Linked DNA regions of Anolis sagrei. The main gene of each other region encodes a partner of the protein of the gene in region 3 in a complex. Links are inferred from orthologs where the notes say so. Each region holds a gene or a part of one and is shown on either strand. Other genes may lie near its edges.

The links.
Region 1: MED23 (region 3) and MED8 share a complex: the UniProt entries of both Homo sapiens proteins name them as parts of the mediator complex. The link is inferred for Anolis sagrei from reciprocal best matches to the Homo sapiens genes MED23 and MED8.
Region 2: MED23 (region 3) and MED13 share a complex: the UniProt entries of both Homo sapiens proteins name them as parts of the mediator complex. The link is inferred for Anolis sagrei from reciprocal best matches to the Homo sapiens genes MED23 and MED13.
Region 4: MED23 (region 3) and MED31 share a complex: the UniProt entries of both Homo sapiens proteins name them as parts of the mediator complex. The link is inferred for Anolis sagrei from reciprocal best matches to the Homo sapiens genes MED23 and MED31.

Annotation. Positions count from the first base shown.
Region 1 is NC_090024.1:182,943,598-182,950,759, forward strand, and holds the start of MED8 (mediator of RNA polymerase II transcription subunit 8), read left to right. Parts: upstream 1-4,172; coding exon 4,173-4,295; intron 4,296-7,162. Other genes in the region: KICSTOR complex protein SZT2, read right to left, coding at 4,145-4,192. UniProt on the Homo sapiens protein: Component of the Mediator complex, a coactivator involved in the regulated transcription of nearly all RNA polymerase II-dependent genes.
Region 2 is NC_090031.1:31,483,917-31,491,875, reverse strand, and holds the start of MED13 (mediator of RNA polymerase II transcription subunit 13), read left to right. Parts: upstream 1-4,948; 5' UTR 4,949-5,238; coding exon 5,239-5,304; intron 5,305-7,959. UniProt on the Homo sapiens protein: Component of the Mediator complex, a coactivator involved in the regulated transcription of nearly all RNA polymerase II-dependent genes.
Region 3 is NC_090021.1:82,352,315-82,360,290, reverse strand, and holds the start of MED23 (mediator of RNA polymerase II transcription subunit 23), read right to left. Parts: upstream 3,015-7,976; 5' UTR 2,930-3,014; coding exon 2,879-2,929; intron 380-2,878; exon of another isoform or gene 226-379; intron 1-225. UniProt on the Homo sapiens protein: Required for transcriptional activation subsequent to the assembly of the pre-initiation complex. Component of the Mediator complex, a coactivator involved in the regulated transcription of nearly all RNA polymerase II-dependent genes.
Region 4 is NC_090031.1:29,644,587-29,652,382, forward strand, and holds the start of MED31 (mediator of RNA polymerase II transcription subunit 31), read left to right. Parts: upstream 1-4,779; 5' UTR 4,780-4,866; coding exon 4,867-4,876; intron 4,877-4,961; coding exon 4,962-5,039; intron 5,040-5,784; coding exon 5,785-5,881; intron 5,882-7,796. UniProt on the Homo sapiens protein: Component of the Mediator complex, a coactivator involved in the regulated transcription of nearly all RNA polymerase II-dependent genes.

The DNA.
Region 1 (7,162 bases), on a different chromosome or scaffold from region 3:
AGTCTGCCATAGTTGCACACCCTTATTTTTACAGAGACGGTAGCTTCATAAAGCTGCACACCAACCAATCTCAAGCAGGTTCTTATTCACCAAAATCGTTTTGTCTTGTTGTTCAACAGGCAACTTGCCTGTAACTCATGGGCCTCCTGCAAACTCTTGGGAAAGATGGGTCTGGTTGAAAACTGACGAGGCTTGTTTATTTGCTTTTTGGTTTAGATAAGGATTCACTCTGTTTTCATTTGGTATCTCTTATCCAAAATACTTGGAACCAGAGCATACTTGGAACCCTTTGTATCCACAGAATCAAACATCCATGCCTTGAAAATATTTCCCACAAAAAAAAATCCACAAAGCAAACCTTAATTTTACCATATTATATAAGGGACATCATTTAACTATGTTATTGTACATGATGAGGTTTGAGAATCAATGGATTTTGGTATCAACAGGGATCCTGGAAACAAACTCTGGCAGATACCAAGGCCCACAGTAATTGTATATACATAATAATTAAACTTCTTGGAGTGCAACCATGTAACCCAAGTCCAAACATGAAATTCACAAATGCTTCATATACACATCATAAAGCATAATCTGAAGGTAATTTTACACCTCAGTGTCACCAAACTCTAGTCCTCCAGTTGTTTTGGCCTTCACCCTGCAGAATTCCTGATGATTGATCAAGGCAGCCGAGGCTTCTGGGAGGTGAAGTCCAAAACTTCTGGAGGAAAACAGCTTGGGGATCACTGTTATACACAAACTTTTATATCACTTTGTGCATGAAGCTACTTTTATATACATTGAATTATCAAAGCTAAAGGTATCACTCTATCAGCCATCCACGTGGGCCATTAGGGGCCATTTCAGGTTTCAGTCACTCAACCCGAACTCAAGTCTGGCACCAGGATCCCCCATTCGTTGCAAACACTCTTTTCCACAAAAAAAAGGAGGGGTCACAATCTTTGCAAAGATGAGATGGATGGCCATCTGTTGGGGGTGCTTTGAATGCAATTTTCCCACTTCTTGGCAGGGAGTTGGACTGGATGGCCCACAAGGTCTTTTCCAACTCTATGATTCTATGATCAGCTTCCAAATGGAGCTTCATAACCTTTGCAAAAGCTCTCATCCAAAAGGGAGATCTCATACATTGTACGAAACCTCCTCTCCAAAACGGGGGTCCCACATCCCTTGCAAAATCTCCCCTCAAACCATGGTTGTGCAACTGATCCAGCAAAGCCAAAAGTGTCACTCCCTCAGCTACCTACATGGGCCATTTCAGAATGTTGGATTTGGGATACTCAACCCATACCCAGGTCTGTCACTTGGGTCCCATGTTCTTTGCAAAGAGCTCCTCTCCAAACCAAGGGTCCCACATGCTTAGAAAGAGCTCCCCTTAAAAATGGTGGTCCCCTCAAATCATATGTGTGCAATTGAACCAATGGGAATGGTGTGTGTGTTGTCTTGGGGGGGGGGGTGTGTAGTTTTTAAATGTAGCTTTACTGTACTTCAATTCTGATTATTAACAATAAAGAAAAAGTTAATTTTTCCAATATTAATATTTATATTCCCATGAATTTGCTCTGTTTGTCTCATATTATGTTTGCTGTTAGCCACTATGTGACCCTATATCTAGAGAAAGGCCGGATAAAAACAAAGTAAATAAATAAGCAAATAGAACAAAGGTGTTATTATATCAGTAAACCACATTGACCATTTTGAAGTATTGTGTACTGGGGATACTCAACCTGCACTCAGGTCTGGCACTAGGGCCCCACACCTTTTACAAGAGCTCCCCGCCAAAACAGGGGTTTCATGCCTTTTACAAAACTTTCACTCCAAAATGGGGACCCCACACTCTTTGCAAGAGCTCTCCTCAAACCATGTTTGTGTGATTGAACCAACAAAGCCAAAGGTGTTGTTCTCTCAATTACCAACATGGATCAGATTACGGTTACTCAATCTTTTCTGCAGTCTGGCACCCCTTCCAGAACTTCCCACAAACCAAGGTTCATGTGATTAAACCAACAAAGCCGAAGATGTCACTATAGGCATCTATACCAGGCAGGGGCAAACTCAGGCCCTTCAGGTGTTTTGGCTGTTAGGAATTGTGGGAGCTGAAGTCCAAAACACCGGGGGGGGGGGGCAAAGTTTGCCCATGCCTGATCTATATTGTAGAATTAATGCAGCTGGACACCACACTTTCACTGCCATGGCTCCAGGCAAAGGAGTCAAGGGAGTTGCGATTTGGTGAAGCACCAGCACTCTTGGCTGGAGCCACGGTAGTGCAATAGCTTAAACCCCTTGTGCTGGTTGAACTGCTGCCCTAAAGGTCAGTGGTTTAAAGGTTCAAATCCCTTTTTTTTGGGTTGTGTCAGAAGTGACTTGAGAAACTGCAAGTCGCTTCTGGTGTGAGAGAATTAGCCATAGAATCATAGAGTTGGAAGAGACCTCATGGGCCATCCAGTCCACCCCCTGCCAAGAAGCAGGAATATTGCATTCAAATCACCCCTGACAGATGACCATCCAGCCTCTGTTTAAAAGCCTCCAAAGAAGGAGCCTCCACCACACTCCGGGGCAGAGAGTTCCACTGCTGAACAGCTCTCATAGTCAGGAAGTTTTTCCACATGTTCAGATGGAATTTCCTTTCCATCTGCAAGGACGTTGCCCAGGGAAGGCCCGGATGTTTTTACCATCCTTATGAGAGGCTTCTCTCATGTCCCCGCATGAGGAGCTGGAGCTGATAGAGGGAGTTCATCCACACTCTCCTTTGATTTGAAACTGCGACCTGTTGGTCTTTGGTCCTACCGGCACAGGAGTTTAACCCACTGAGCCCCAGGGGGCTCCAGTGAGATGGGGTGATCTCCCGCCTGTCAGGTCCAGTTTCCCATGCGGGGACATGAGAGAAGCCTCCCACAGGATGATAACCCATCTAGGAGCCCCCGGTGGCGCAGTGGGTTAAACCCCTGTGCCAACAGGACTGAAGACTGACAGGTCACAGGTTCGAATCCGGGGAGAGGTGGATGAGCACCCTCTATCAGCTCCAGCTTTCCATGCGGGGACATGAGAGAAGCTTCCCACAAGGATGGCAAAACATCAAAACATCCAGGCGTCCCCTGGGCAACGTCCTTGCAGACGGCCAATTCTCTCATACCAGAAGTGACTTGCAGTTTCTCAAGTTGCTCCTGACACAACAAAAAACAAACAAACAAATAACCCATCTAGGCATCCCCTGGGCAATGTCTCTGCTGACAGCCAATTCTCTCACATCAGAAGCAACTTGCAGTTTCTCAAGTCGCTTCTGACATGATTTAAAAAAGAGCATGTTTTGGCAGAGAAGGCAAAGACCTTGTAAAACTACACCTCCCATGATTCCATAGCATTGAGCCCTGGCTGTTAGAAGTACGGTTAGAAGTACATTGTGTACGGTTGTTTTTTGTAATAATTGTGCATTGTAATTGCTTATTGGTAATTTATGGATAATGTGTTAAGTCAATTGTTATATGTTGTATGGAACCACTGCTGTTTCTACTGTTTCTACTGTTTGTGAACCGCTGTGAGTCGCCTTCAGGCTTGAGATACAGCGGTATATAAGCAAAGTAAATAAATAAATAAATAAATAAATAATACAAGTGTTGTCAAACTGCATTAAGTCTAGAGTGTGTGCACCCTTTCTTCTGGAGGATATTGGCTGTGGGATACTCAACCTGCCTTCAGGCGAGGCTCTGGAGTCCCACACTCTTGGCAAGGGCTCCCCTCTTTATTTTTCCACAAAGAGGAGACTCGTCTACTAAAGTTATCACACTCGAGCTGAAGGAGTAGGCAAAGAGTCTGCCTCCCGTTTGGAAATCCCGCGGTTGCCTCCTGCAGAATTCTGGGGCTCGTAGTTTAGGGAAGAGCCTCAGACAGAGAGACCCTGGCTCTCACTCAACTACAGGCCCCAGAATCCTGCAGGAGGCAGCCACAGGGTTTCAGGTGGGAGGCAGACTCTTTGCCCACTCTTTCAACCAGCTCGCCAGGACTGGGAACCACCCTTCACACACGTGTCTGGCTGCACGTGTGTATGCACACCCTGCAAGGCCTGCAAAGCTTCCCTGCCGCCTCCCACCCATTTCGCCCCGAGCGGCGGCAGGGCAAAGAAGAGTACCTCCGCGTCGGGTCTCTCTGAAGCCGCCATGGCTGGCGCCGCCCTCATCCGGGACCTTCGACCTCCTGAAGTCCCGACCCGGAAGAGGAAACAGCCCTGCAAAGGAACTCCCCCCAGGCGCGGGAGGGTTTATATCACCGTCGCCATGCAGGTGAGGCGGGAGCGGAGGCTGGGTTGAGGCTCTTAAGGGAGTGGGGTTGTGCCTGCGTGCATCCACATTGTAGAATTAATGCAGTTCGACACCACTTACAATGTAGTCCTGGGAGTTATAGTGTGTTCACACATCAGCACTCTTTGCCAGAGAGGTGTAAGGCTATGGAATTTGTTGGGAATTTTACCAAGTTTTTCGTCTTCTCTGCTGAAGACTGATGGTGTCTCACCAAACTGTCACTCCCATGACAGCTAAAGTGGACTCAAACTGCACTAATGCTACAGTGTAGGCGCACCCCCCTTTCTCTGATGGTTTAACTATTGGATAATCACAGGTCACATAACCGAATGGAGGATTTTGACCTTTTTTTCATATCAAGAATGATTTGAGAAACTACAAGTCGCTTCTGGTGTGAGAGAATTGGCCATCTGCAAGGATGTTGCTCGGGGACGCCTGGATGTTTTACCATCCTTGTGAGAGGCTTCTCTCATGTCCCCGCATGAAAAGGTGGGAGCTCACCCCTCTTCCTGGATTTGAACCGTCAACCTTTCGGTCAGCAGTCCTGCCAACATAAGGGTTTAACACACTGCACCACTGGGGGCTCTGATTATGACCAATTGGGAAAACCATAAGCTTTATATCTTTTAAGAAAAGACATTGTATCTATGTGTATTTATACTTTGCAATTCAGCTGCTAGACTGATTTCCAGGTGACTCTGAACTATTAGCAACAGAGAATATGCCAATACACAATATATATATTTAGCAGATCTTCAAAGGTGTTGTTTAGTGTTCAAAAGACATCTACTCCCATAAATATCTTGTTTCTATTCCATTCTCTCAGGAGACAAAAATCAAGTAGATTTCTTTAAAATAACATATTTGTTTTACTCACAACCTCATGTATTTAAATATACAGACATGTTTCTTGTTTGTTTAAACTAAAACATTTCAGTTTGTGTCTTTAACTTTCAGTCTTTATCAGTCACTTCAACACTATACAGCTCTGTACAACTCTCCTTTATAACGGTCAACTTCCAACTGTCATCTTCAATGGTCATTCCTCAACTGTCATCTTTTAACTGTGTTCCAAACAGTCCCTGATCTGGTCACATTGTCCACAGCCCCTCCCACAACCTCAAGGACATAGAGTTAGGAAAAAACTGCATACCAAAAACACATAATAATAATAATAATAATAATAATAATAACTACTCCTACTCCTACTACTAGGGAAGTGTTGGATGTGTGATCCAGCACAACAGAGTGATCTTGTTTGCTGTGTACTAATCTTTTTGTGTTTCAAATAATAATAATAATAATAATAATGAAACTGAAATCCAGTCAGAATCTTCAGGACTGACATCAGTATGGAGTTCAGCCTAGACAAATGTGCCGCAATGGCATTAAACAAAGGGAGAATTACTCACAGCAAGGGTATAGAGATGCCAAACGGACAGACTATAAAATGCAATCAGCCTGAAGCCTATAAATATCTGGGCATACTACAGTTGGACAATATCAAGCATGGGCATGTGAAAAATGTGGTCAGCAAAAAATACGTCCAAAGGGTCAGAAAAGTTTTGAAGAGCAAATTAAATGGTGGAAATACAATCAAGGCTATCAACACCTGGGCCATCCCCGTCATCAGATACACTGCTGGAATTGTGAACTGGACACACTCAAAGTTGGATGATCTAGACAGAAAAACAAGAAAACTGCTGACAGTCCACTACTCATTACACCCACGTAATGATGTCGACAGATTTTACCTGCCCAGAAAATCAGGAGGCAGAGGGCTTCTGCAAGTGAAACAAACAGCAGAAGAAGAGAAACATACACTGGCAGATTATGTGAAAGGCAATCAAGAACCAACATTGATGGAAGTCAATGGTAGAAAACTGCTTCAAGTGCAAAAGACAATGAGTGAATACCGCAAAAATACAAGGCAGAGCAGAAGGTAAAACTGGCAAAAGAAGGCTCTCCATGGACAGTTCCTGAGAAAAATTGAGAACCAAATTGACAAAGAAAAAACATGGATGTGGCTTACAAATGGAACTTTGAAAAAGGAGACAGAGGGCCTGATTCTTGCAGCCCAAGAATGGGCAATTAGAACAAATGCTATCAAAGCCAGACTGAAAAGTTGATGACAGACCCCAAGTGTAGACTGGCAGACGAAACAATAGATCACATCCTCAGCTGCTGCAAGAAGATTGCACAGACAGACTACAAGCAGAGGCATAATACCATTGCTCAGATGATTCATTGGAACTTGTGCCACAAATACCATCTGCCTGCAACAAAGAACTGGTGGGATCACAAGCCTGAAAAGCTTACAAAAAATAAACACATCAAACTACTCTGGGACTTCTAAATTCAGACTGACAGAGTTTTGGAGCACAATACTCCTGACCTCACAAATGTGTTTAAAAACCAATTATGGATCGTCGATGTTGCAATCCCAGGCGGCAGCAGGATTGAAGAGAAACAACTGGAAAAACTGACACGATATAAGGATTTAAAGATTGAACTGCAAATACTCTGGCACAAGCCAGTAAAAGTGGTCCCAGTGGTGATCGGCACACTGGGTGCAGTATCTAAAGACCTTGGTCGGCACTTGAACACAATCAGCGCTGACAAAATTACCATCTGTCAGCAGCAAAAGGCCACCCTACTCATATCTGCATGCATTATTTGCCGATACACCACACAGTAGTGGTAGTAGTAGTAAGATGCCTCAGATCCTGACTGATTTAGGAAGTAAAGGAGGGACAGCTCTGGTTAGTACTTGGATAGGAAAGTGCAAATGAATACTGGGTGCTGAGGGCTATATTTTCAGATGAAGTAATTGGCAGACCTCCCTGTGA
Region 2 (7,959 bases), on a different chromosome or scaffold from region 3:
TACATACATAGATAGATAGATACATACATAGATAGATAGATACATAGATAGATAGATAGATACATACATAGATAGATAGATACATAGATAGATAGATAGATAGATAGATACATAGATAGATAGATAGATACATCGTTAATACATAGATAGATAGATAGATACATAGATAGATAGATAGATAGATACATAGATAGATAGATAGATACATACATAGATAGATAGATACATAGATAGATAGATAGATACATACATAGATAGATAGATACATAGATAGATAGATAGATAGATAGATAGATAGATACATAGATAGATAGATAGATAGATAGATAGATAGATACATAGATAGATAGATAGATAGATAGATAGATACATACATAGATAGATAGATACATAGATAGATAGATACATACATAGATAGATAGATAGATACATAGCTAGATAGATAGATAGATAGATACATACATACATACATAGATACATAGATAGATAGATAGATAGATAGATAGATAGATAGATAGATAGATAGATAGATAGATAGATAGATAGAGATAGCAATGTTCAGACTAATGAAGACTCCCCCTGCATTTTTCCCACCAAGCCACTAGATGGCGCTGGCTCAGCAGCCGCCGCGGTGGATCTCGTTGGCGGCGCCGCCTCCCTTCTCGCTGGCTGGCTGGCTCTCTGGCGCCCCTGGCGGCGCTTCTGCGCCTGCGCGGGCTGCCTTCCTTCCTTCCTTCCTTCTTCCCTTCCTCGCCATCTGGGGGGAGGGGAGGGGGGAAGAGAAGGAGGCGGGACGCGCCGCCACGTGACAGGGCGCTCCTCCAATGGGCGGCGCGGGAAGGCGAAGGCAGAAAAGGAGGGCAGCCAATGGGAGCGCGATTTCCCCCTCTCGACGACGCTGGCCTGCTGTTTGGCCGCCATTAGAGGAGAAAGAGACAAGAGGGAGGAGGAGGAGGGAGAGGAGGAGGAGGGAGAGAGAGAGAGAGAGGGCAACATCACATCATCCTCATCATCCTCGGATCCAGGCCTTGTTTCTGAGGAGGAGGGAGGAGAGTAAGTCCTTGGGAAGGGATTGAGAAGAGGGGAAGGAGGGGAGATTGATTCATAACCCCCCCCCCTCACCCTTGTTTTTGGTTTGTCAACCTTTTCAGCTGCCGAAGGAAGAATGGGAGAGACTCGCTGAGGAGAAGGAGGAGAAGGAGGAGAAGCCACCTCTCAGGATGCCGAGGCTGGGCAGCCGCAAGCAGAGGCACCGCTGAGGAGAGGGGAAAAGGAGGAAGGCCCTTCTTTCTTTCTGCCTACCTGTCAGGGGAGAGCGGCCTGGCTTCCTGTCAGGAAGAAGAGAGGGAGCACAGGCCCCAAAGAAGCCCTTCAGGAGAGGAAAGCGAGCAGGAGAGAGAGACTCCTCAGAGACACACCTATAGACACTGATACTGAGGCACAAACACCTTCACAATTCCACACCATTTTGGGACAGCGGGGTGTGGAATTCCCTTCTCCTCCTGTGTTTTCTTGGAAACAGGGAGAGAACACAGGCCTGAAAGAATCCCTTCAGGAGAGGAAGGAAAGAAGGAAGGGAGCTTCCCTGGAGAGGCACCTAAACATCTTCAAGAACCCATAATTTCACCCCATTTTGGGACATCGGGGTGTGGAATTATCCTCTCACCTCCTGTGTTTTCTTGGAAACAGGGCCTGAAAGAATCTCTTCAGGAGAGGAAGGAAGAGAGCTTCTCCAGAGAGGCACCTAAACATCTTCAAGAACCCTTTCCTCTCACAATTCTACACCATTTTGGGACATTGCGGTGTGGAATTCCCTTCTTCCCTCTGCTTTGGAAAAAGACAAGCTTTTAACTTTCTCACTTGGGAAACAGGAAGAGAACACAGGCCTGAAAGAATTTCTTCAGGAGAGGAAAGAAGGAAAGAAGAGGGCTTCCCTAGAGAGGCACCTATAGACCTAAACATCTTCAAGAACTCTATAGATCTAAACATCTTCAAGAAGCCTTTCCTTCCATAACTTCACCCCATTTTGGGACATCGGGGTGTGGAATTACCCTCTCACCTCCTGTGTTTTCTTGGAAACAGGGAGAGAAAGGATTCCTTCAGGAGAGGAAGGAAGAGAGCTTCCCTAGAGAGGAACCTAAACATCTTCAAGAACTCTTTCCTTCCATAACTTCACCCCATTTTGGGACATCGGGGTGTGGAATTACCCTCTCACATCCTGTGTTTTCTTGGAAACAGGGAGAGAACACAGGCCTGAAAGGATCTCTCCAGAAGAGGAAGGAAGGGAGCTTCCCTAGAGAGGCACCTAAACATCTTCAAGAACCCTTTCCTCCCACAATTTCACCCCATTTCGGGACATCGGAGTGTGGAATTCCCTTCTCTCCTCCTGTGTTTTCTTGGAAACGGAGAGGACACAGGCCTGAAAGGATCCCTCCACAAGAGGAAGGAAGGGAGCTCACCTAAACATCTTCAAGAACTCTTTCCTTCCATAATTTCACCCCATTTTGGGACATCGCTGTGTGGAATTCCCTTCTTCCCTCTGCTCTGGAAAAAAAGACAAGCTTTTAACTTTCTCACTTGAGAAACCTCCTCTTGGAAACAGGAAGAGAACACAGGCCTGAAAGAATTTCTTCAGGGGAGGAAAGAAGGAAGGAAGAGGGCTTCCCTAGAGAGGCACCTATAGACCTAAACATCTTCAAGAACCCTTTCCTCCCACAATTTCACAACATTTCGATACATCGGGGTGTGGAATTATCTTCTCGCCTCCTGTGTTTTCTTGGAAACAGGAAGAGAACACGGGCCCAAAGGAATCCCTTCAGGAGAGGAAAGAAGGGAGCTTCTCTAGAGAGGCACCTAAACATCTTCAAGAACCCTTTCCTCCCACAATTTCACACCATTTTGATACATCGAGGTGTGGAATTACCTTCTTCTGCTCTTGAAAGAGACAAGCTCCTCGTTCTGATTTCTTGAACTTTCTCGCCTTTTCTTGGAAACAGGAAGAGGACACAGGCCTGAAAGAATCCCTTCAGGAGAAGAGAAGGAAAGGAAGAAATCTTCCCTAGAGAGGCACCTATAGACCTAAACATCTTCAAGAAAGCTTTCCTTCCACAATTCCACAGCATTTTGATACATCGGGGTGTGGAATTACCTTCTCCCTCCGCTCTAGAACTTTCTCACCCCCTGTGTTTTCTTGGAAACAGGAAGAGAACACAGACCTGAAGTAATCCCTTCAGGAGAGGAAGGAAGGAAAGAAGGAAGAGGGCTTCCATAGAGAGGCACCTATAGACATAAACGTCTTCAAGAACCCTTTCCTTCCACAATTCCACCTCATTTTGATCTCTTGAAATAGAATTATCTTCTCTAGAAAGGAAAAAAGAGACAAGCTCCTCGTTCCGGTTTGTTTTGAACTTTCTCACTTGGAAAACCACCTCTTGGGAACAAGAAGAGAATACAGGCCCAAAAGAATCCCTTTTAGGAGAGGAAAGAAGGAAGGGAGCTTCCATAGAGAGGCACCTAGAGACATTTATATTTATACATAAACATCCTTCCACAATTCCACGCCATTTTGATCTATTGAAATAGAATTATCTTCTCTCTCTAGAAAGGAAAAGAGACAAGCTCCTTGCTCCTGTTTGTCTAACTTTCTCACCTCCTCTCTTTTCTCGTGAGTCCATTTAAAGAAGGAGAAGGGAATATAAGGACTCTTTGGTGGTTCTTTCAACAACAAAAAGCATCCAGAGACTTCTGGCCTAGCAGATTGACCCAACGGATTCGTCTTGATCTTCTATTTCTTTCATTCTCCGCGCCTTTTTAAATTATTGTCATTATTATAATTATTGGAAAATACCCCTATTTTGGTTCAGGGGAAGAAAAAAGCAGACATCAGAAGGAAGTGAACAAGGGAGAAGGGATTTTGTCATTTCTGCCGAGGAATTAATTTTGGGATTTTGAGGAAAAGGTGTTTTGTTTTTTTCTCTTCTTCCCTTCGAAAGAAGTTCTTTCTCCCCATTTTTTCCTGTCAAGGAAAAAGGACCCTCCAGTGTGGACTTGACAAGAGGGGAGAAACAAAACTTTTCTTTTGGCTGTTTTTCCTTTCGAAAGGTTCTGTCAACAACCTGAAGCAGAAGTTTTGTTCAACTACAGTGTCAGAAAAATCAGAACTTTTTCTTTTTGGAGGAGTGTTTGCATCTTTTCAGTGTCTCTGGGGGGTCTTGAAGTTCAGGCCTTGCACTTCCCAAACCCAAAAGCAAACCTTTCTTCCTTGGAATTCTCTTCTTTTGGGTCAGACCCTCTTCCTTTCGCACCGCTGCATCAGGAAACTCCCACCCTACAGACCCCTCTGGATTGGGCCACAAGTTTGAATTATTGGAAACTTTGGAAGACACTTTACGCAAACAGGAATTCCCCACCTTCTGGGAGAAGGAAAAAAATTAAATTTGGGGCAAAGGGGAACGTTTGATCCACATTCAACCCATCGAGGAGATACCAGACTAGAAAGTTGTCCCCTTCTCATTGACTTAACTGAAAATATGTCTATGTCTGGCTGAGGAGAGAGACGAGAAGAAGGGGAGGGGGAGAAAAAAGAACAATCTGCTGCATTTCTTCCTCTCCAAGATGAAAAACCTCAAGATGACCATTTGATCCCATATATTGCATTTCTGCTCGTGAGGAGGAAAAAGAGACAGAGATTCCTGGATTTATTTCCCACCCGCCTTTCAATCGCTGGATTATTTGTGTCTTTCTTTCTCTCTTTCTCTCTCCCCCCCCCCTTTTTCCCATTTCTGCCCCCCTCCTTTTCGCCTTGAAGTAACCCCAGCCTCCTTTCTCTAACCTCCTCTCTATTTATCTCTTTGGGGTTCGGAAATTGAGCTCCTCAGAGGAAGAAGATTCCTTTCTTCCTCTCCTTTCCCCTCCCTGGTATTTGATATCATTAAATAATAAATAGATATTATTATTATTATTATTTATCCCGATCTATTTGTGTGCTGTGGCGCACACGCCACCGTGCAACCCCCTCCGAAAACTCCTCCCTGGGCTCTTCTTGTGGTTGTGTGGGTTTTAAAAAAGGAAAAAAAGGGGGCCCTTTCCCTTGCTGGCTGGTGTGTGCGAGAGTGTGCTGTGTGTCCCTCCCTTCTCAGGCTGTGTGCCTTCCTCTCTCTCTCTCTCTCGCCCTGTCTGTCTCTTTTCTTTCTTGTCGGAGGCTTGTGGGATAATGGCGTGTGGGTTGTGGCTGTGAGGATGAGTTCTTGCTTCGTACCCAACGGGGCCAGCCTGGAGGATTGCCATTCCAACCTATTCTGTCTGGTGAGTCGGTGTGTGGCTCTTGGGAGCCTTTCGGGGTGGGTTTTGGGGGGCGATTTGAATCAACCCAAAGGGTGGATGATGGTGGAGGTTGAAGGAAGGGGGGGAAGAGGAGGAGAAGGAGGAGGAAAGGTTTTACGGATCAGAGATAAACCTTGGTGGACGGGAAAGTCTGGGGTGGGAGGGAGAAGAAGGGAGAGGAGAGCTCACCAGCAGAAGGGAGGAAAGGAAAGGAAAGCAAGGGAAGGAGGGGAGTGAATAGGAGAGCGAGCGAGCAGCCATTTTTAGCATTGCTCCTGCTGGAGTAGGCCTTGCCAGACATTTTTCCAGCTCCCTCTGTGTACACACATGTCTAGATCCACACACGCACATATTTGTGTACATGTACACCAGCCCTTGTTTTTCTTTCCCTGATTGGTCTTCGCTTTGCCACCATTCCTCGGATTTATATTTTTGCCTCCTTCTCTCTCTCCTTTTGTTGTTTTTGTTCTCGATTCTCCTCCTAACTTCCATTTTTTTTCCACGCTCCTTCACCTCTTTCATTTCTGGCCTGTCTTCCCTAATACAAAGATTTCGGGTGTGTCTTTTTGATAGTGACTTTTTCCTCAGCTTTTTCACCCCCTCCCCCCAAAAAAAACCCACATACACATACCAAAAAAAATACACACCAAAATGCATTTTCTGTTTACTAGGCCAACTTTGCTTGATTCCTTAGAAATAACAAGGAAAACCAAACTGTGAAAGTGACACAAGAGGTCTTGGGGGGTTGTCGGCAAAATCCCTTCACTGGAATTTGGAGATTTATTGTCGAAGGCTTTCACGGCTGGGATCGCTGGGTTGTTGTGAGTTTTCCTGGCTGTATGGCCATGTTCCAGAAGCATTCTCTCCTGAAGAAGCATTTTCCTAGTTTCGAACAGCTTGATGCTAATCAAGGTGGCCTTTGGTAACAGTCACACTTGCCTCCCACCCTGGACATCATTCCACAGATATATCAACCTCACTTGCCTAGTTTCCAACAGACCTCAAAACGTCTGCCATAGATGTGGGTGAAGCGTCAGGAGAGAATGCTTCTGGAACATGGCCAGACAGCCTGGAAAACTCACAACAATCCAATTTGGAGATTTTGCTTTTTCGACTTACAGATGAATGGGAGTAGCAACCCTTTCTTTTACATTGCACCCTTGTCTTGATGTCTTTATTTGTTGGTTTGTTTATTGTTGTTAGGTGAGCCAGTTCAGTCTTAATTGAGTTAGGATCCAGTTGAACTTCCTGCCCAGTCTAGGTTTTGGTGACCTCTGTCTGATCCCCCCCTTAATGCAAATTGGTAGCAGATTTTGACTGGTTGGTGTTATTTAATCCTGGAAGTGGAATATAATGAAATTGATCTGCTTATGTGTAGTTATGGGTATGTTCTGCAGGATCACAAAACTGACCTACTCCCATGGGGTTGCCTATGTGTTTAATGTATTATGTCCCCCAGCCCCCCCCCCTTTCCAAAAACATAAACCGTTGCAGATAGAGCTAGTGTAGTGGGAGCTTCCTTATTGGAGTTAAATAAGCAGGAAATCCTTCATTGTCTGCAAAAGAAGTGGAGTATGCACTTCCCCAATCGCAGGGTGGTGAAGTTGAACCCTGGACTGAGCCCTGCTTGCAACTTGCTGCTCCCTTTGCTTTACAAACAAACCAAAACCGAGACTGGTTGAAACATTACCATTAGTATTTGTGATTTTCTCAAAAAGTTGTGTTTCTGGATGGAGGAGAGCAAGAAATATTTGTTTAAGCTGTCTTGAATGACTTGGGTTGTAGTTAAAATTACCTAAAGTTGTCCCAACAGGGTGTTTTTGAAAACTAGATCTTTCTTAGAGATTCTCTGGAAGGGAATTTTATTTTTATTGTGTGTGTGTGTGTGTGTGTGTGTCAGGAGCGACTTGAGAAACTGCAAGTCGTTTCTGGTGTGAGAGAATTGGCTGTTTGCAAGGATGTTGCCCAGATGTTTTGATGTTAAGTTTTAATAACTTCTTGCATTGGTTTTTAGCTTCGATTTCAAAATTTGTTGGAGTTTGAAGTCTACAACCCTTTGGGTTGGATGTGAATTATGGGACTGGGTCCCAATATTGTGATCTGGATTTGTATATACACTTTGTGCTGGTCATGAACTGGAATAAAGTTTTGATTGATTGACCATCCTTGTGGGAGGCTTCTCTCATGTCCCTGCATGGGGAGCTGGAGCTGACAGAGGGAGCTCATCTGCATTCTCCCCGGATTCGAACCTCCAACCTGTCGGTCTTCAGTCCTGCCGGCGCATGGGTTTAACCCATTGCACCACCAGAAATAAGGACAGTTGTTATTTTTTTCAGTGGTTGTCATTTTTCAGCAGAATTCTTGACTCCAAAAATTATTTGCTTCAGGGTTGTTGTTATTACTTCTGACAGTAAACGACCTATCTGAAGGTGGGTCAGTTAATGTTGAGGAATGTATTAGACTCTCAGAATACACATTTTCAATATGGGGGTATTCAACAGGATGCCAAAAAGTAGTGATGTGCTCTTTGATGCTTTGTAATTCTAGAATGGACTTGAATAATCAAAACCACTGGTTTGAATGGAATAGAGGTTGAGGCTACAGTTCACAGACATTTGTCATAAGAGAAACAAATTA
Region 3 (7,976 bases):
TTCCATAGCTTTCAGCCATAGCAGTTAAACTGATGTCAAACTGTATTCATTCTACCATGTAGATAAACCCTTAGTGGTTGATAGCTGAAGTTTGTAGCTTTCCAATCTGATCTATTCAGAAGTGTATTCACTAGTAAATTCAGTCTGCTGTCATGGAGAAGTGAATGTAAGTGTGAATTAGATGGTCAAAAAGAAGTTTCTCTTCAGATCGTATAAATCTTTTACCTTTTACTTCAAAAGATCCTTCCACAAAGAATCTGGAGCCTCAATTTGAAGTTGGCTTTGCATTCCATGTTGCTTGGGAAAGTTAAATCAGTATTTGCTCTTTTGACATAATACCTTTTGGTTCCTTGTTTGTTACGGATTTCTCTAGTCACTTCTGTGGACAGGAGAGCCCAGCAAGGGCAATCAGGAAGTACATAAACGCAAAGGTGGTCTTAGCCATACACCTTGTCTCTCTCACACAGAAGATCATCACATCAACAAAAGAAATAAGACAACAAAGGGGCTGCTTATGACATTACATTTTAAATCTCCTGTCTTAAAAATACAAAGTGGCTGGATGAGTCTAGCATTTTGGATTCCAGCTCTGTGCAAAATGTTGACATGGGTGGAGTAAATTCATCACTGACTGTAAACACAAAGTCATATTATAATTCTGAATGATCTGGAGTTAAATAAAATATATATGACGAAATACAGGTTTTTCCTGTATTTTCAGGTGATTTTATAGTTGTCCGGAATTAAATGTTGACTCATAATTTGGAACAAGTTTCTAAATTGCACTGTTCTGCATTGTACTTTTTTCCCTTTTCCAAGATGCTTTCTTGTTTCCCTGAAGAGATTCTTCCCTTCTCTTTATATTTAAAGTGTCATGATGTATTGTTATTGCCGTTATTGCTTGCTTAACTTATTGATTTGCTATGTTTTCTACTGTTGTGTTGTTTTACTGTATTGTGTTTTGAGGCTTCGGCCTGCGTAAGCCGCATCGAGTCCTCCGGGAGATGCTAGCGGGGTATAAATAAAGTTAATAATAATAATAATTAATAATAATTACAAGCACAAGTTCAAGAACAGTTGAGTTCAATGAAACGTATTCCATAGTAAAAGAGCTAGTAATAAATAGCAGGTCAGATATGATCCCTAGCTTCTACAAACTCCTTTTCTACAAACTCCTTTTCTTCCAAAGCATTTTTTTGTGATCTCACATCCAATATATTTGCTTCCTCACATCTAGAATCATAGAATCAAAGAGTTGGAAGAGACCTCATAGGCCATCCAGTCCATCCCCCTGCCAAGAAGCAGTAATACTGCATTTAAATCACCCCTAACAGATGGCCATCCAGCCTCTGTTTAAAAGCTTCCAAAGAAGGAGCCTCCACCACACTCTGGGGCAGAGAGTTCCACTGCTGAATGGCTCTCACAGCCAGGAAGTTCTTCCTAATGTTCAGGTGAACATTAGGAAGAACTTCCTGACTGTGAGAGCCGTTCAGCAGTGGAATCTCCTTTCTTGTAATTTGAAGCCATTGTTCCATGTCCTAGTCTCCAGGGAAGCAGAAAACAAACTTGCTCCCTGCTTCGTATGAGACGAACACAAAACCAAACTTTGAAGCATCTTAAACCACTTTATTGAAGCACAGGGTTTCACAGAATTGAATCCAAATTATCTAATATATGAAGTTTTGCATTCTGTTAACAGGAATATGTGTGTGTGTGTACACACACGAAAAGATTCTTAGGGCACTTTCAGACAGTCCATATTACAAGAGGGATCCCCTCACTTCTGCAGGAGTCTACCGTATACCATGCTGCTGTGGACAAGTCTACATACGGACCACCAAACGCAGCAATGCCCAAACACGAGTCAAGGAACATGAAAGGCACTGCAGACTACTTCAACCAGAGAAGTCAGCCATAGCAACCTGGACACAGCATATTATTCGAGAACACAGAAATGCTGGACCACTCTCACAACCACCATGTCAGACTACACAGAGAAGCCATTGTAATCCACAAGCATGTGGCCAATTTCAACAGAAATGAGGAAAACATGAAAATGAACAAAATCTGACTACCAGTATTAAAAAAATTCTAAAATTACAACACCAAAACAACAGAGGGAAAACAATCAGGGACATCTATTCATCTCTCAACAAAAGATTGCCCCAGGCACTGCTAGGCCATCAAATGCTAATCAATTTGGTCAGTTGAAACATTCACACCTAGCACCAACAGACAAGAGTCCTTTGTCCCACCTGGTCATTCCAGATATATAAACCCATTTTCCTAGTTCCAACAAACCTCCCTACCTCTGAGGATGCTTGCCATAGATGCAGGCGAAACGTCAGGAGAGAATGCCTCTAGAACATGGCCATATAGCCCGAAAAAACCTACAACAACACAGTCCATATTATCTCAGGATCTGATCCTAGGTTTTCTGCTTTAAACTGGATTACGTGAGTCCACATTGCCAGATAACCTGGGATGTAGGGCCTGTCTGGAAGAGCCCTCAGGCATTGCAAGGGTGGCCTCCCCCAGGGCCAGGAGGATGAGGAACAACAGGTTAGGGGCGAGAGAGGCCTGTGGCCCATAGGCAGCCCTTGTGGCAAGCCACACGTGAACTGCCTAAGCATCCTGGGCTTATCCAGAAATCGGAAAGACTCCAAAAATCTGACACTCTCTCTCTCCGCATGGGTGGCTGAGAGAGTGACACCTTGGCTGTCTAATCGAATGGGTTTCTTTCAGATGCCACTGGACGACACCGCCCATCTCTTTGGGGCGAAGGGGAGCTGCAGACCAAACCCCACCAGGAAGGCATCAAATCGTCCTCCCTCCCTCGCACTCCTCCCTCCCCGGAGCAGGAGAAGGCGGCGCTCACCACCACTTCCTCGAAGATGCTCTGCAGCTGGGTCTCCATCGGGACCGCCATGCTGAGCGGAAAACGACCCCCGCCTCTCGCTGGCAGGAGCCTCACCGCAGCCACCGGCCCCCACCCCGGAAGGGATCCCCTTCCACATCCGGGTCTCCTTAGAGAGAGGAGGCGGTGTCTCCTCGGCGCTTTGCAAAGCGAAGCCCTTCTAGGAAGCAGAACGGAGGGAGTTCGGTAGCGACCCCTGCAGGAGGAACGAGTTAGTGCAAGCCTATGGGTTACATTGAATCAATGAATTAATGAATGAATGGGGCTTGGCCATAGCTCAAGGCAATGGGAGCAGGCTCATAATAAATTGTGGCAAGTTCTTGGTGGTATGGGGATACCAAGACACCTTGTCCGCCTCCTGAGAAATCTGTATAATAATAATAATAATAATAATACTTTATTTGTACCCCGCTACCATCTCCCCAAGGGACTCGGTGCAGCTTACATGAGACCGAGCCCACAATACAACAATAAAAACAATAGCAACAGTAATACAAAACAATAATAAACTCATAAGCAGAAAATAAGCAATAAACATTAACAATAACACAATGACATTTAAAAACCTATGGCTGGGCCAAATGTAATAATTAAAAATTTAAAAATAATGCTGGGCATGACCAGGTGACATATAACTAGGATAGAAATTTTGGAGAGGGATGAAACATGCAGACAATCCTAGATCACTAATAAAGTGCGTTTAGGGACATATTGCTGGGAGTTTCCTTATTCTGGGAAGGCACACTGAAACAACCACGTTTTCAGGCTCCTCCTAAAGACTGCCAGAGTTGGGGCATGCCTGATGTCCTTGGAGAGTGAGTTCCAGAGTCAAGGGGCCACCACTGAGAAGGCCCTCTCCCTCGTCCCCACCAATCGCGCTTGTGATGGAGGTGGGAGCACGAGCAGGGCCTCTCCAGATGATTGAAGAGATCGTGTGGGTTTGTACACAGAGATGCGGTCACGCAGGTAGGCGGGTCCCAAACTGTTTAGGGCTTTGTAGGTAAGCACCTACACCTTGAATTGGGACCAGAAAATGAACGGCAGCCAATGGAGCTCCTTAAACAGAAGAGTTGACCACTCCCTGTAAGGAGCACCAGTTAACAACCTGGCCGCCGCTTGTTGGACCAATTGAAATTTCCGGGCCATTTTCAAGGGTAGCCCCACGTAGAGTGCATTGTAGTAGTCCAATCTGGAGGTGACTAAGACATGGACCACCCTGGCCAGATCCGCCTTCACGAGGTATGGTCACAGTTGGGGCACGTATAACTTATTGTCGAAGGGTTTCATGGCTAGAATTACTGGGTTGTTGCAGGTTTTTCGGGCTATATAGACACTAGCTGTGCCCTGCCACGCGTTGCTGTGGCCTATAGTAAAACTTATCAAAGTTGAGGTAGATATCTGGACTATTATGAAAGAGAGGTACCTACCTATTCCTTCCCCCTTTTCCTCCCCCTTTCCTTTCTTCCTTCTCTACCTCTTTCTTTCTTTCACTACTTGGTTTCATCCTTCTCTCTGTCCTTCATTCCCTCCCCCTCCTTCCTTTGCCTTTCTTCCCTCCCTGTTTGCTTCCTTCTTTCACTTTTTATTTCCTTTTATTTTACCACCATCATAACAATAACAATAATGCAATGCATTGCCTCTGGGACTTGACACCTCTCCCATTCCTCCAGGGTCTCATAGGAACAATAGCATAATAATAATAATAATAATAATAATAATAATAATAATAATAGAAATAACAACCTTTACCCGCCACGTGTTGCTGTGGCCAATCTTCCCTCTTTCTCTCCTTCTTTCCCTCCTTCCTTCCTTCCTTCCCTCCCATCTTTCCTTCTCCTCTTCTTTCTCTATCTCTTTCCTTCCTTCCCCCTTTTTCTTTCTTTTCTGCTGTCTCTCTTTTCTTTCCTTCCATCTTTCCTTTTCTTTCCTTTTCTTCTTCCTTCTTTCTCTAACTTTCCTTCCTTCCCCCTTTTTCTTTACCTCCCTTTCTCTTTCTTCCTTCTTTCCTTCCTTCCTGTCTTTCCTAGATTTTGACAGGGCGGGAAGGGGCGGGGTGGGGTTTGGAGGTGGTGTGAAGTAAAAGGAGGTAAGATTGGGGTGGGGGAGTGATGGAGCGTGGGGTTGTGTGTGTGTGTGCAGCGGCGGGGGGAGTGATGGAGCATGGGGTTGCGTGTGTGTGTGTGGCGGTGGGGGGGAGTGATGGAGCGTGGGGTTGTGTGTGTGTGCGGCGGCGGGGGGAGTGGGGTTGTGTGTGTGTGTGTGGCGGCGGGGGTAGTGATGGAGCGTGGGGTTGCGTGTGTGTGTGCGGCGGCGGGGGGAGTGGGGTTGTGTGTGTGTGTGTGCGGCAGCGGGGGAAGTGATGGAGTGTGGGGTTGCGTGTGTGTGTGTGGCGGTGGGGGGAGTGGGGTTGCGTGTGTGCGTGTGCGGCGGCGGGGGGAGTGATGGAGTGTGGGGTTGTGTGTGTATGTGCGGCAGGGGTGTGTGTGTGTGCGGGAAGCGGCGCAGCGGGGCTTGGAGTGGGCATGGTTTCCACAGAGGGAACGTTGGCCGGAAGGGCATGTGCGCGCGCCAGGGAACTTGCGGCTGGGCGCCAATGCGCATGCTCAGTTGTTTTGCCGTTTTGTGAGTGTGTTGTTGTGTTGTTTTTCATTTAGAGTAGATACGTTTATACCTTGTGGGTTGTGTTATGGGCATGGGAATTTTGGTTAAGTTTCGTTGGGGTTTTTTTGAGTTTTTTTTTTGCCGTTTTGAGTGTGTTGTTGTGTTGTTTTTCATTTTGAGTAATATGTTTGGGTTGTGTTATGAGCATGGGCATTTTGGTTAAGTTTCATTGGTTTTTTTAGAGTTTTATCCATTCCTCGTTGGATGCCCCTAACAAATTTATATATATAGATGTTCTAGAACAGGGGTCGTCAAACTTTTTAAACAGAGGGCCAGGTCACAATTCCTCATACTGTTGAAGAGCCGGATTATAATTTGGAAAAAAAAATGAATGAATTCCTATGCACACTGCACATATCTTATTTGTAGTACAAAAAACACTTAAAACAATACAACAATTAAAACGAAGAACATTTTTAACAAATATAAACTTAGTATTTCAATGGGAAGTGTGGACCTGCTTTTGGCTGATGAGATAGGATTGTTGTTATTGTGTGCTTTCAAGTCGTTTAAGATTTAGGTTGACCCTGAGTGAGGCCGGGGTAAATGACCTTGGAGGGCTGTATCCGGGCCCCGGTCCTTAGTTTGAGACCCCTGTTCTAGAAGCACTCTCTCCTGACGTTTCACCTGCATCTATGGCAAGCATCCTCAGAGGTTGTGAGGTCTTGTGAAATCTACGGCAAGCATCCTCACAACCTCTGAGGATGCTTGCCATAGATGCAGGTGAAACGTCAGGAGAAAATGCTTCTAGAACATGGCCATATAATCTGAAAAACCTATAACAACCCAATCTGTATAACAATCAAGTAGTAATGAGCCCGAGCGCAGCGGGGAGCCCCACCTTCACATTGGTGTGAGCTGCAGCGGAGAGTTCCGCAGTTCCTGGACCAAGCTTTTGGGACCAACAGATGAAATGTGCCCCAGCGGCTAGCTCAAACCCAGGAATGCTTGCAGTATTCATCTTGCTTTCCCCTTCCCTTTACTTTGTATCCTTTCCCTAATAAAAGTACTTGAAACTTGCAACTTTTTATCTTTCCGCATGCTACTTTTGTATCCTTTCTTGACTCAAACAAATAACATTGCAATAGACGTTTTTTTTGGGCTCCGGAGGACCGTGAGCCCGCGGGGGGCGCCTCCGGGCGCTCCCCGGACCCCGAATCTGCGTTCGCCTAGACCACGGATACGGAAACCGCCATTTCAGACCTCCTTATCCACAAAAATACTTAAAATGGCGGATCGCCGCCGTTCCAATTTTATATTTTTCTACAACTAATTCTAAGACTAACTGCCATTTCCCTTTTCTCGTTTTGGGCTCCTTCACCCGGGGAAAAATTAGTTTTGTTTTAAGTATTTTATCTTGCAGAGAAACAGCTGATTGTCAATTTGGCTGGGTTTTCCGCTCCTCCGCAGCAGTGCTCGCTCCCAATTCAATCCAGCAGCTTGGGACCCACGGCGGTCGCCCGTAGGAGCCCCGGAGAGGGGGCCAGGCATGGGTCCCGGGCTCCGACCAGGGAGATACAGTTTCCCAAAGGACATTGCCCCACCAATCACAGTTTGGAAATCCTCTTCGGACTCTTTTGCCCTCACTTATTGACTTTCTGCCTTATTGTCTTGGACTGTTTCCCTGCCATGCTTTTGGACACAAACCTTAGACCGGGCTTGCCTGGAGGGACAAGCAGCCTCAGCCTACGTGCGCCTTCACCAAGAAGACTATGATTCCTACAAAAATAAAATACATTTATTATTATTTTTAATAAACTTTGCTGGGATGGGGATGGGAATTTATTTGTGAGATGTATGAAGTATATAAGATGTATATAGTGGAATATCATATGAAATGTATCCTGATTCCCCTTCCCGCCTTTCCCTCTGAACTTCGCCCCAAATCCAATCATAAGACCAGGAAACTCATTGTTTCCCTTGTCTGCCACCCCGCCGATGGGAACAAAGGCTCAATAACAGCTGGCGGATGCCCCCTGGGCACTCCATTTCCACTGAGCTGTCAAACTTCATCCCGCCTCCTGGCTGCTGATTGGACCATCGTCGGAGGCGCTAGGAAGACGCCGATTGGCCCCCCAGAGGCGGCCGAGCTCGCTGATTGGACAGGAGGCGGGACGTACAGCCAAGCCTCCTCCCAGCTGTTCCGCGGCCGGCCAATCAGGGTGAAGCCGGCCGGCAGAGGGCGGGCGGGATTTTCAAAAATATTTTCTTTGTCTGTATGCTATAAAAATGCCTGGAACTTCTGTGAATGTATGCTTGTATGTGAATGATCACTGCAATCACATCCTTTTCAGCTGAATCGCAGAAATAAACGCTTCGGTCACTGAACCTCTTCAGCCTCTGGTGAGATTAATTTTTAGTATTTTTTGCTCTTTGGATTGGCTTTCGCTGGCTGCTC
Region 4 (7,796 bases), on a different chromosome or scaffold from region 3:
AAAAATACTGGAAAGCTTTGGAAGAAATTCACCTACATTTATAGGAGTTGTAGGTACTGGGATTTATAGTTCACCTGCAATCAAAGAGCACTCTGGGCTCCACCAAGGATGCCCCTGGGCCTAACTTGGCACACAGAAACCTCCATGACCAACAAAAATACTGGAAAGCTTTGGGAGAAATTCACCTTCATTTATACGAGTTATAGGTACTGGGATTTATAGTTCACCTGCAATCAAAGAGCACTCTGAACCCCACCAATTATGGACCTGGAACTAATTTGGCATACAGAATCTTCATGATCAACAAAAAATACTGGAAGTCTTTGTATGGCTTTATAGGAGTTGTAGTTCACCTACATCCAGAGAGCACTGTGAACCCAAACAATGATGGATCTGGACCAAACTTAGTACACATACCTTATATGCCCAAATTAGAATACTGGTGGGTTTTGGGAGGACTTGTAGGTGCTTGGATTTATAGTTTACCTTCAACTAAAGAGCACTCTGAACCCCACCAAAAAGAGAATTGGACCAAACTTGGCACACAGAACCCGAATTACCATCAAAAAATATGGGAGGTCTTTGGAGAAAATTCATCTTGATTTGAGGGAGTTGTAGTTCACCTAATTTAGAGAGCACTGTGAACCCAAACACCAATGGATCTGGACCAACCTTGGCACGCATACCTGATACGGCCAAATTTGATTCCTGGAGGGGTTTAGGGGAGGATAGACCTTGAATTTTGGGAGTTGTAGTTCACCTACAACCAGAGAAACTGTGATCCCCCCACCGACAACGGACCTGAATCAAACTTGACACACAGAACCCCTATGACCAACTGAATATACTGGAGGGGTTTGCGGGAAACTGACCATAATTTCTGGGAGTTGTAGTTCACCTACAACCAGAGACACTGTGACCACCAGTGACAATAAACTGGGACCAAACTTGACACACAGACGAATTGAACCAACTGTGGGGTTTTGAGAGGATTGACTTATCATGGTGGGAGTTGTAGTTTACCCTGCAGCCAAAGAACACACTGAACCCCACTGATGGTACATATGGAGCAAACTTGCCCAACATAACAAACCTGAAGTACTGATGGAGTTTCAGGGGGTTAACCTGGCACGATGGGAGTTGTAGTTCACCCACAACCTTATGCATATTGGACAATTAAAAATCTGACTTTTTCAAATAGCCTGGGCAACACCAAGTACACAGGCTAGTGTGTGTGTGTATGTGTGTATATATCTTGTATATATATCTTTGGGGAAGAATTCGCTTGTTGTACCTCTACATTGTCACTTTTTTGTACACATGTATTTTATACTGTGGTCAACAGTGCTGGCATGCCCGCATGTTGTTGATTCTATAACAGAGTTAGGAGCCAATAGGAATTTGAACAAGGATCACAATTGGCCCCCAGACCGGGCTTTGGACATGCCTGGCAGTCTTTCTCCCATTAAGGTCATACCTGAACATTAAGAAGAACGTTTCGTTGGAAAGAAGAGCTGTTCGGCACTGGAGTCTCTGTCACAGAGTCCCCTTCTCTGGAGGCTTTGAAGCAGAGGCTGGACGGCTGGACGGCTTTGAAGCAGAGGCTTTGACTGTGCCCTCCTCCATAGTAGAATGGGGTTGGACTGGATAGCCCTTGGGGGTTCCTTCCAACTAGAGGATCTCAGAATTCCATAGCCATACTTCTCCATAAACTTGCTAATATCTCTGAGGTTAAATGGCCACGGGTCGGGAGGGATGGCATCTTCCTTCAATAATAATAATAATAATAATAATATTAATAATAATAATAATAATTGCACACATTATTCGCCGATACATCACACAGTCCTAGACACTTGTGAAGTGTCCGATGTGTGATCCAATTCAACCGCCAGCAGAGTGTCTGCTGTGGTCTCATTTAGTTTTGTTTCAAATAATAATAATAATAATAATAATTATTATTATTATTATTATTATTAATATAATAGTAATATTATTTTCTTTCCTGGAAGAGTGGGTTGGACTGGATGGCCCTCGGGGTCCCTTTCAATTCTAGGAGAATAATAATAATAATAATAATAATAATAATAATGGATAATATAATAGTAAAGGTAAAGGTTTCCCCCTGACATTAAGTCCAGCCATGTCCGACTCTGGGGGTTGGTGCTCAACTTCCTTTCTAAGCCGAAAAGTCGGCGTTGTCTGTAGACACCTCCAAGGTCATATGGCCGGCATGACTGCATGGAGCACCGTTACCTTTCCACAGAAGCGGTACCTATTGATCTACTCACATTTGTATATTTTCAAACTGTTAGGATGGCAGAAGTTGGGGCTGACAGCGGGAGCTCACGCCCCTCCCCAGATTTGAACCTGTGACCTTTTGGTCGCAGTAATTCAATAATAATAACAGATAATATTAAATAGTAATTGTATCTTCCTGTCTGGCAGAGGGGGGATAGACTGCATGGCCCTTTGGAGTCCCTTCCAACTCCAGGAGTTTAATAATAATTACATAATAGACAATAATATAATAGTAATCCAATAATAATAATTGATAATAATGAATGATAATATAATAATAATTCTATTTTCCTTCCTGGCAGAAAGGGGTAGGACTGCATGGCCCTTTGGGGTCCCAACTTTAGGAGTCTAATAATAATAATTATATAATGAATAATAATATAATAGTAATCCAATAATAATAGTAATTATTATTATTATTATTATTATTATTATTTATGGCTTGTAGGTTTTTTCGGGCTATATGGCCATGTTCTAGAGGCATTCTCTCCTGATGTTTTGTCTACATCTATGGCAAGCGTCCTCAGAGGTTGTGAGGTCCCAACCTCTAAGGACACTTGCAATAGATGCAGGCGAAGCATCAGGAGGGAATGCCTCTAGAACATGGCCATATAGCCCGAAAAAATCTACAACAACCCAGTGATTCCAGCCATGAAAGCCTTCGACAATACGGTAATAATTTATAATAGTGAATAATAATATAAGAGTAATTCTATTTTCCTTCCTGGCAGATGGGGGAACTGCATGGCCCTTGGGGGATCCCTTCCAACTCCAGGAGTCTAATGATGATAATGCAGGGGTCCTCAAACTTTTAAAACAGAGGGCCAGGTCACAGTCCCCCAAACTGTTGGAGGGCCAGATTATAATTTGAAAAAAACATGAATGAATTCCTTTGCACACTGTATATATCTTATTTGTAGTGCAAAAAACAGTTAAAAACAATACAATAATTTTAAAAAATAATTAAAACGAACATTTTAAACAAATTTTAACAAATTTTAACAAATGTAGTATTTCAGTGGGAAGTGTGGGCCTGCTTTTGGCTGATGAGATAGGGTTGTTGTTGTGTGCTTTCAAGTCGTTTCAGACTTGGGTTGACCCTGAGCGAGGGCCAGGTAAATGACCTTGGAGGGCCGTATTCGGACCCCGGGCCTTAGTTTGAGGACCTCTGATATAATGGATAATAATATAATAGTAATCCAATAATAATAATAATAAGATAATTAAGAATACTAATATAATAGTAATTCTATTTTCCTTCCTGGCAGAAGGGGTTGGACTGCATGGCCCTTGGGGGTCCCTTCCAACTCTAGGTGTCTGATAGGCCTTTGATCTTTGATATTACTGTCTTTAAAATTTTTTTTAAATTGTTTTTAAATTGTGTTAGATTTTAGCCTGTTCTTGTAAGCCGCTCCGAGCTCCAGGGGAGTGGCGGCATATAAGTTTGAATAATAAATAAATTAAATAAAATTAATAATAATAATAACAGTAAAATAATTTTAAAAATTAATGGATAATATGCTTGGCAGAAGTGCATTGGACTGGATAGCCCTTTGGGGATCCCTTCCATCTCTAGAAGTCTAATAATGATGATGATGCATAGATAATAATATTATCTTTCTGCTCCTCCCTTCCAACTCTAGGATACAAAGATTCTAGGATAGGCCGGATGGCCATCTGTTGAGAGGGGTCGGATCGTGTCTTCAATGGCAGGATGGGGTTGGGCTGAATGACCTTCCAATTATAGGATTCTATCTACTTATCTATTTATCTATTAGGGGTTGGGCTGGATGCCCTTAGGGAGTCCCAATTATAGGATTCTATCTATCTATTTATCTATTAAGGGTTGGACTGGATGGCCTTTGTGGGTCCCTTCCAACTCTAGGATTCTATCTATCTACTTATCTATTTATCTACTAGGGGTTGGACTGGATGGCCTTTGTGGGTCCCTTCCAACTCTAAGATTCTATCTATCTACTTATCTATCCTTTAGGGGTTGGACTGGATGGCCTTTTTGGGTCCCTTCCAACTCTAGGATTCTATCTATCTACTTATCTATTTATCCTTTAGGGGTTGGACTGGATGGCCTTTGTGGGTCCCTTCCAACTCTATAGTTCTCTATCTATGTTTCATTCCATACAAATCTATCTCCTTCTCTGCAGGCTTTCAAGCTGAGGCTGAGTGGCCCTCTGTCGAGAGGGATTAGATGGTGCCTTCAATGCCTCGACTAGATGGTTTTGGGTTCCTCTTGACGGCCTCCTTGGACGCTTCAGGACCATAATGCAGACGGGGAGGGAGTGGGGAGAGCCAGTCCCGCTTCAAAAAGCAAAGGAAGACAAGGCCTCTCCGTTGCCTAGGCGACGACAACATGGCCGCCCTCCTCCTCTCCCTCCAAGAGCGCAGGTCCGGGGGGCGGGGCCTAAACCCGCCAATGGGAGGCCTTACTTTCGGAGAGGGCGCCGTCGCCATGGATACCGGACCCTCGAGTGCGCAGGCGCGGGGGGCTCCAGCCGCCATATTTTTGCGGCCTAGCGTTCGGAAGGCAGGCCTCTTCTCGGCGTCGCCATGGAGACCGGTGAGACTAGCACGGGGAAAGGGCTTCCTGGGGATTGTGGGAATGGCGCCTCATTGACCTTCCTTCCTTGTGGTTTTGTTCCTAGAGGACGGCGGGAACCGCCTGCGCTTCCAGATGGAGCTGGAGTTCGTGCAGTGCCTGGCCAACCCCAACTACCTCAACTGTGAGTCCCATTGGTACCCACTGAAGGAGGAATGAATAGGTTCTTGTGGGTTTTTTCGGGCTATAGAGCCATGGTCTAGAGGCATTCTCTCCTGACGTTTCGCCTGCATCTATGGCAAGCATCCTCAGAGGTAGTGAGGTCTGTTGGAAATAGGAAAATGGGTTTATATATCTGTGGAATGGCTGGGGTGGGGCAAGGAGCTCTTCTCTGCTAGAGCTAGGTGTGAATGTTTCAACTGACCACCTTCATTAGCATTTGAAGGATTGCCTGAGCCTGGGAAAATCTCCTGCTGAATCTCCCAGGCTCAGGCAGGCCTTCAAATGCTAATGAAGGTGGTCAGTTGAAACATTCACACCTAGCTCCAGCAGAGAAGAGTTCTTTGCTCCACCCTGGTCATTCCACAGATATATAAACCCTTTTTCCCAGTTCGAACAGACCTCACTACCTCTGAGGATGCTTGCCATAGATGCAGGCGAAACGTCAGGAGAAATGCCTCTAGAACATGGCCATATAGCCCGAAAAAACCCACAAGAACCTAGTGATTCCAGCCATGAAAGCCTTAGACAATACGAGGAATGAATAGGTGAATTAATCAAGCAAGGCCAAGCTGTACTCTCCCAGGAGATTGGCTTGCTAGATAATCAGTGGCGCAGGTGGATGGGAACACGTTGTTCCCTCCCCTTGGGCCTGGTCAAGAACTGGCCATTGTGTCTGACTTGATTTGTGTTCCTTTTCCTCCTTCCAGTTCTGGCCCAGAGGGGCTTCTTCAAGGACAAGGCCTTTGCCAATTACCTCAAGTACCTGCTGTACTGGAAGGAGCCCGACTACGCCAAGTTCCTCAAGTAAGAGCCTTTCTTTGGCAGGAAACATTGTGATCATGTTTATTGACACCCAGCTTATTCTTTCGAATCTGGGGAGAGGCGGATGAGCTCCCTCTATCGCAGTGTTTCTCAACCTGGGGGTCGGGACCCCTAGAGAGGTCGCCAAGGGGTGCCAGAGGGGTCACCAAAGACCATCAGAAAACACAGTATTTTCTATGGGTCATGGGGGTTCTGTGTGGGAAGTTTAGCCCAATTCTATCATTGGTGGGGTTCAGAATGCTTTTTGATTGTAGGTGAACTATAAATCCCAGAAAACTACAACTCCCAGATATCAATGCCTATTTTCCCCAAACTCCACCAGTGTTCACATTTAGCATACTGAGTATTTGTGCCAAGTTTGGTCCAGATATAGTGCTCTCTGTAGGTGAACTACAACTCCCAAACTCAAGGTCAAATGCCCACCAAACTCTTCCAGTGTTTTCTGTTGGTCATGGGCATTCTGTATGCCAAGTTTGGTTCAATTCCATCGTTGGTGGAGTTCAGAATACTCTTTGATTGTAGGTGAACCATGAATCCCAACAACTACAACTCCCAAATTATGTTTCATAACAGGAGTAAAATTACAGTTATGAAGTAGCAAAAAAATAATAATATTATGGTTGGGGGTCACCACAACATGAGGAACTGTATTAAAGGGTCGTGGCATTAGGAAGGTTGAGAAACATTGCTCTATCGACTCCAGCTCCTCATACGGGGACATGAGAGAAGCCTCCCACAAGGATGATAAAAACATCAAATCATCCGGGTGTCCCCTGGGCAACGTCCTTGCAGACGGCCAATTCTCTCACAGCAAAAGTGACTTGCAATTTCTCAAGTCGCTCCTGACAAGAAAAAAAAAAAAGCTTATTCTTTCCATAAGGGACTCAAAGCATGACGGCTTCAAACTACAAGAAAGGAGATTCCATCTGAACATGAGGAAGAACTTCCTGACTGTGAGAGCCGTTCAGCAGTGGAACTCTCTGCCTTGGAGTGTGGTGGAGGCTGCTTCTTTGGAGGTTTTTAAACAGAGGCTAGATGGCCATCTGTCAGGGGTGCTTTGAATGCAATATTCCTGCTTCTTGGCAGAATGGGGTTGGACTGGATGGCTTATGAGGTCTCTTCCAACTCTATGATTCTATGGCACAATCTGAAATACACAAATATTAAACAGTATTAAACATCATTAGAGAGGATTGATGGAGATACGGAGTCACATTAATGCCTATATTATTATAATTATATTATTATATTATATATTATTAAATGTGACTAGATCCCAGTGGGAAGTTAACCACGTTCCATGCAGTCATGCTGGCCACATGACCTTGGAGGTGTCTACAGACAATGCTGGCTCTTCGGCTTAGAAATGGAGATGAGCACCAACCCCAGAGTTGGACACAACTGGACTTAATGTCAAGGGACAACCTTTACCTATATATTATTATATTATATTATATTATCAAGCCCTGTTGTACTGGAAGGAGCCCGGCTACACCAAGTTCCTCAAGTAAGAGCCTTTCTTTAGCAGGAAACATTGTGATCATGTTTGTCGACACCCAGCTTATTCTTTCCATAAGGGGACTCAAAGCATGACAACACAATCTGAAATACACAAATATCAAAAAAGTATTAAACATCATTAGAGAGGTTTGATGGAAATACGGAGTCACATTCATGCCTATATTATTATAATTATATTATTATATTATTTATTATAAAATGTGGGTAGATCAATAGGTACCACTCCAGTGGGGAGTTAACAGCGTTCATAGAATCAAAGAGTTGGAAGAGACCTCATGGGCCATCCAGTCCAACCCCCTGCCAAGAAGTAGGAATATTGCATTCAAATCACCCCTGACAGATGGCCATCCAGCCTCTGTTTAAAAGCTTCAGAAGG